2 linked regions of the Rattus norvegicus genome follow. The protein of the gene in region 1 interacts with the protein of each later gene in a biochemical or structural test. Links are inferred from orthologs where the notes say so. Each region holds a gene or a part of one and is shown in the gene's direction. Other genes may lie near its edges.

What was found.
Region 2: the proteins of Mavs (region 1) and Irf3 form a complex in vitro, tested with the Homo sapiens proteins (2 studies listed by BioGRID). The link is inferred for Rattus norvegicus from reciprocal best matches to the Homo sapiens genes MAVS and IRF3.

The regions. Positions count from the first base shown.
Region 1 is NC_086021.1:138,916,969-138,919,691, forward strand, and holds the end of Mavs (mitochondrial antiviral-signaling protein), read left to right. Parts: intron 1-599; coding exon 600-1,028; 3' UTR 1,029-2,157; downstream 2,158-2,723.
Region 2 is NC_086019.1:104,615,534-104,619,449, forward strand, and holds the start of Irf3 (interferon regulatory factor 3), read left to right. Parts: upstream 1-1,074; 5' UTR 1,075-1,176; intron 1,177-1,478; exon of another isoform or gene 1,479-1,516; coding exon of another isoform or gene 1,517-1,617; intron 1,618-1,852; exon of another isoform or gene 1,853-1,905; coding exon of another isoform or gene 1,906-1,939; coding exon 1,940-2,104; intron 2,105-3,263; coding exon 3,264-3,435; intron 3,436-3,526; coding exon 3,527-3,600; intron 3,601-3,751; coding exon 3,752-3,916. Other genes in the region: Bcl2l12 (bcl-2-like protein 12), read right to left, coding at 51-157.

The DNA.
Region 1 (2,723 bases):
ACCCAGCCCTTGCACCTTGTTTTCCAAGAGGAATGAGAGTCATGAGCCCGCCTAAGCTCGGACTAAGTAGGGTGGGGCATGGGACTTCCCCCACTGGCATGTCTGTTAACTCATTTGGAGCTTGAAGCCCCAGTGAAGGTCAGCAGTACCATTTTGTAGCTGGAGTAGTGGGGACTAAACGTGATGGCTCATGTGTCCTAGTGCCCTGTTCATTCGACAGTGTTCTCAAGCATCCTGCTTGTAGTAGCTTCTCCAACCTAGTGACCCCTATAGCCATTTTCCCCACGACCATACAACTGTCTACCTAAGGGAACCAAGTTTGTAAACCTCAGGATCTTGTGCCTGCCCTGTGGCTCTCAGGCCCAGGTAGTACAAGATGGTTCACATGCCAGCAAGGGCTCCCTCTTAGTGGAGCTCACAGCAGTTCCGTGAGTGGGAGAGGGCTGCCCTGGAGGGGTACTGCAGCATCTTGGTCACCTACTCAGCTGTGTCTTATCCCCAAGAGAGGGTAATTTCGGCTATTGTGGGATACTAGTTCAAGCCCTTGCCACACCCTGGGTTATCTCCTGTCACCTGAACCCCTCTTCTTATGTTTGCAGGAGACCCTGGAGGCTCCAGCAACCGTAGTCACCACTGGAAGCAGCCTGACCAGACCAGATATCAGTTCCAGGAGCTTGCACTCTGGGCCAGAGTTAAGCAAGCCAGGGGTGCTGGTGTCCCAGGTGGACAACGAGCCATTCTCAGCCTGCTCTATGGACCTTGCCATCAGCCCTAGCACCTCCTTGGGCTCAGAACCCAACCATGGTCCAGAGGAGAATGAGTATTCATCCTTTCGAATCCAGGTGGATAAAAGTCCCAGTGTTGATCTGTTAGGAAGCCCTGAGCCACTAGCCACCCAGCAGTCCCCAGAAGAGGAAGAGCCTTGTGCCAGTTCAGTGTCCTGGGCTAAGTGGCTGGGGGCCACCAGTGCACTCTTGGCTGCATTCCTGGCAGTGATGCTCTACCGTAGCAGGCACCTGGCCCAGTGAAGCCTCAGCTGTATGCCACACTCACTTGCTCAGTCCTGCCAAGCATGCCCTCTAGGCTTGGGGTGGTAGATATGGCGAGGTCCACTGAGTTATCCAGGTACAGGTGCTACCTGTACTGAGGCGCCATCACTATGTGGTGGGGGAAGAGACACTGCTTCTATCCTGGTTCATGTCATCTTCTGGTCTTCAGCTTTTGGGGGCCCTGTATCCCTTCCATTGCTTCTGACCTGCCCACAGGGCAGGGTAAGATTGCATGCTATGTGCTCCTAAGGAGGTATCCCCACCAGACTCATCCCTATTGGCCCAAGCCTGAAGATGAGGAGGCATTGCACTGTTGACAGTGCCCCTCCTCTCACCCAGGTCTCCTGAAACACAAGCGTAGAATAGTGATGAGTGGTCCCGTAGCATCCAATGCCTTCCACCAGCAGCCTGGCTGAGGCCTCGGCAGAGTGCCTGGGAGCAGCAGAGCAGCTGGTCTCTTGGGAGCTTTGGGTGCTCTGCCCCTTTGGTCCCTCTCCCCAGCCAGACAGCCCTAAGGGTGGGCCTGGAGGTTCTCTGTGGACTCCAAGAAAGCCAGAAGCAGCTCCCAGGCCTGAGAAAGCCCCTGGGAGCCTTGCTCCAGCCTCCTTATCCCAGCTCTTCACTTCTCCCCTCCTGGTCTCCATTCTCTTTGACCTCCTACACTGGATGATGAGATACCTAGTGGGCAGAGCTCAGGCTGGGCTTGGATCAGTTCCACCCTTTCTCTGCCTTTAGCAGATGTTTAGCTTCTCTAGTCTTCCTCCCAGTGTGGACAGTGGGTAGCACTTCCTTTTACTGGGCTCCTCTGAGTTTGAAGGATAGAGATATTTGCCTAGTGCCTATCCCCGAGGGTGTGAGCACAAGTTCTTGCCGTCCTGCCCAGGCTGGTAGAGCTAAGGTGAGAGCATGAGAGACAGAGTGCACAGTGGTAATAGCACAGTCTTTGAGAGAGCAGCCTTCGCCTCCATCGTGCTTTTGTCTCCTCCCTGGTCAGGTGTAGACCTTACCTCTGTGCCTCACTTTTCTCACCTGTGAGATGGGGTGAATATGCATATATATGCTAATATATTCTAGTTTTATTGGGATTAATTAAAAGAGTTTATCTGTACAAATCTTGTGTGTTCCAAATTTCTTAAAGGTTGGATACATGTTATCACCACCCCACCCTAGACTGTTTCTCTGTGTAGTCCTGGCTGTCCTAGAATTCACTCTGTAGACCAGGCTGGCCACAAACTCAGAGATCCACCTGTTTGTTTCAAGTGCTAGGATTAAGGGCATGGGCCACCACCATCTGACACATCATCACTTTTAAAGAAAAGGTACCTGGTGAGAGATAGGTCTTAGCACATTCTTCCCTTCTCGGTGAGAGATAGGTCTTAGCACATTCTTCCCTTCTCAGTGGGCAGGAAGTCTAGTTATTCCTATAGCAGAAATACAGTTAGGCTTAGGCTGGCTGTGCTCATGCCTTTAATCAGCACTCAGGAGGCAGAGGCAGGCAGATCTCTGAGTGAGTTCAAGACCAGCCTGGTCTACACAGCTCCAGGCCAGCCAGTCTCCAGACAGTGAAATACAATGATGTATATTGAGGCTATCCTCACGGGCTTCCTCAGGGTGCCCTTTGCTGGACAGGGGATAAGCGTGTAGCCACCTCTATCTCTGGGCCCTATTGTGGAC
Region 2 (3,916 bases), on another chromosome or scaffold:
AAGATCTTCTGATCAAAGGCTGGCCCTGGGGGAGTGGAATAGTATCTCACCTGGGTGGAGTTGGGACAGGGGACCCAGCAGTTTCACCGCGCCTAAGGAAGGCAGTCAGAACCTTCAGTGTGTCCTCTTGGAGACCCAACTCTTCAGAGCCGGCCATGGAGGTACCTGAAGCAGAAGACAGAGAATGTACCCAAATGGAGTGATAACTCAAACTTCATTCAATCACTGAATGAAGAGGACACCTTACTCCAAGGAAAAGGTGGCTTAAGGGCCAGTGGGGCAGTTGATTCCGTTGAGGAGAAAGGGCCTGAATTATTGAATCTAAGAAAGGACGTAGGGGTTGGGGATTTAGCTCAGTGGTAGAGCGCTTGCCTAGCAAGCGCAAGGCCCTGGGTTCGGTCCCCAGCTCCGAAAAAAAAGAAAAAAAAAAAGAAAGAAAGAAAGAAAGGACGTAACTGAGTGCTTGGACTCTTACATGCAGGAGCAGGAAGGGAGCCCTGAGTGCTGAAGGAGTCTCGAAGACCCTAGAGAATAGGGAACTACTAATCCTAGTACGCTTTGCGGCAAACGCTAGCCGGGTTTCCCCTCTTTTTCACCGAGCAGCCTGCTGGGAGATGTAGTTCCAATGACCTCTGGCGGGCACCAGGAGACCTCCGTGCTTGGAAGTCAGAGAGACAGGACTGGCTGTGACCTCTCCTGCAACCTAGCTCCCTCCCTGGTACCCCGCTCACCTGGATCGGGGTTCTGCCTCAGTCGTACTGGCGCACACACGCTTTCACTCAATTTCTACAAACTTTACTTCCGAAGTTCAACTTTCCCGCGCCTGCGCACTGGGCCGACACGGTAACCGCCCCAACGTCGAGGGGGCGGAGCGCTGTGTTGCATCATTTGCATATGGCGTTCCCAGCATGCCTGTAGGCGGAAGGCCAAAAAAGGGCATTGAGGGAGTTAGGCCGGTTCAGTCGGAGTGTGCTCCTAGGTTTTCTGACTTTTCTTAAAGTAAATGATGAGAAATTTTTTTTTTATCTCAAAATACCATTAGAAAGGAAAGTCCCAACGCTCGGAAGCTTAGTTGACAAAGAAGGGGGTTGCGTGGCTGCGAGTCTCAACTACTGTTTGGGAGCCCCAAAACCAGTGCTGACACCCGCGCCCCACGAGCGCGCAATTCCTCCCCTGGTAGGTAACGCGGAAGAACCGGGAGGGTGGCGGCCTCAGGGCACAGGAGCTCGGCTACCGAAAACCAGAATGGTTACGCGTTGTAGACGGAAGCCTGCAGTCTCAGCATCCAGACTGGAGGCAGTAAAGATTGCTGCAAGTTCGAGGCCAGTGAGCTCCAGGCCAGGCTGAACCACAGAATGAGCTCCAAACCAGCATGGGTTAAGCGAGTTGAAGACCAGCCTGAGCTACTGAATAAGTTTGAGGGTAGCTTGGGTTACAGAGTGCATTCGAGGCCAGCCTGGGCCACACAGTGAGTTGAAGACCAATCATGGCTACATAGCAAGTTCGAGGACAGCCTATGCTCCATACTAAGACCCTGTCTCAAAACATCCATAAAAACAATGTAGAAAAGACAAAGCAGAAGAAGCGACAGCAGCTGGGAGAAGACTCTGGAAATGAGTAAGGGTTTTCTGCAAGGGTGAGGTGGGTGTGAGAACAGTCATGATTCTTTAAAGACAGGGAAAGAGGACTCCACCCTGGAAATGGGGTACTTGCTTTGAGTAATAGGGGTTTACATTTAGAAAAGGGAAAGAACCTATGGAAAACTGTGGGGTAGGATAGGCGGTCCCGTTGGAATTGGAAAGGTGGGAAGGAGTTTCCCGTTTGTACACAGGAAAACAGGGTGAAGGAAGGCCTGTGCTGTATCGGGTCGGAGAGGTTTGAGTGCATTTGCCCCTTGACATACAGGCTCAGGAACTGCACTGTATGCGCAGGCTGGATCATGGGAACCCCGAAACCGCTGATTTTGCCTTGGCTGGTGTCTCAGCTGGACCTGGGACAGCTGAAAGGTGTGGCCTGGCTGGACGAGAGCCGTACAAAGTTCAGGATCCCATGGAAGCATGGCTTACGACAGGACGCACAGATGGCTGACTTTGGCATCTTCCAGGTGCTGGGGGGGAGGGGGCGGGGGGGGGCGTTGAGACTTCAGAGGCATTTATGGGCGTGACTAGACAGGGCTGGGTCTTGCTAATTAGGTGGGATAGACTTGGAGGGACAGCCCGGAATTGATTGGCAGATTCCAGGAATAGAATTCTGAAAGCCAGGTTGTGTCTCTAAAAAACTGTTCTGGAGCAATGGTTCTCAATCTGTGGGACGCAACCCCTTTGGGGGTTGAACGGGCCTTTCATTGGAAAACAGATATTCACATTAAGATTTATAACAGCTGGGGTTGGGATTTAGCTCAGTGGTAGAGCGCTTGCCTAGCAGGAGCAAGGCCCTAGCAAGGCCCTGGGTTCGGTCCCCAGCTCCGGAAAAAAAAAAAAAAAAAAAAGATTTATAACAGCAAAATTACAGTTTTGAAGTAGCAATGAAAAAAATTTGGGGCTGGGGACTCACTACATCATGAGGATCTGTATTCGGATAGTTGAGAACAGCTCTTTTATTAGAGGATGGGAAATCTCGGGGGGGGGGTGGGCTCTTGATTTTAGATCCCTTAAATCTTAAGAATTGGAACAGCCCTCAGGATGGGGTTATTAGCTACCAGATCAGCATGGTAGTAACAGAATGTGGGGTGAGGTACCAAGTAGGTCCTAGAATACTGGCTTAAAAAACAAAAGGCTTGGGTTGGAGAGATGGCTCAGCGGTTGGGAGCACTGACTGCTCTTCCAGAGGTCCTGAGTTCAGATCCCAGCAACCACATGGTGTCTCACAACCATCTGTAATGAGATCTGATGCCCTTTTCTGGCACATCTGAGGACAGCTACGTGTACTCGTCTATAATAAATAAACCTAAAAAAAAAAAACAAACCAAAATCAAAAGGCTTGAAGGTGGATGTGTGGCATACGTTTGTAATCCCAGCACTCTGGAAGTGGCAGCTAGAGGGTCGAAACTTGGAGCCTACCTTTGTTATAATGTGTGAGACCCTGTCTCATATTCAAAAATATTTTTCTAAAGTGTGGAAAATATAGATAAGGATGAGGTCGGGACAGAAGTCCTAGGGGCTCTATGAATGTGAGAACTTAGGTCAGGAACCAGAAATGTATGGAATATGGTGGGAGGTGTCTAAGTAGTCTTCCCTACTGTCCTGGAATCACTGATGTATCAGGCCTGGGCGGAAGCCAGTGGTGCCTACACCCCAGGGAAGGATAAGCCAGACCTGTCAACCTGGAAGAGGAATTTCCGGTCAGCCCTGAACCGGAAAGAAGTGTTGCGATTAGCTGAGGACCGGAGCAAGGACCCTTTTGACCCTCATAAAGTGTATGAGTTTGTGACTCCAGGTGTGTGTAACAAGGCTGGCTTGGGGGTCACAGGAACCGTGGGGTCTGGAAGATCTCTGCCACTTACTCTGCTCACTTCCACTCTGGACAGGAGGAGCAAGGGACTTTGTACATCTGGACACCTCCCCTGACACCAATGGCAAAAGCAGTCTGTCTGATCACCAGGTGAGGAGACACTAGTCTTGTGCCCAGCCTTGCCCCATCCATTAGGCCTCACCTTCTTCCCACCCCAGCCCTTACCCCTGGACCTCCATTCCCACCAATCTGCTACCCTCTGGCTCAGCTGAAGCTGTTGACTAGCTCCTTCCTCCTCCAGGAAGACCTCTTGGAATTACTCGATCACATGGCCTTGGGACCCCTCCCAGATGAGGGGTCCTCAGACCTGCCTATTGCTTCTGATCCTTCTCAACCACCACTAAGCCCCATTGTAAACAACTTCCCAAACCCAGCACCCCAGGAAAACCCACTAAGGCAGCTGCTA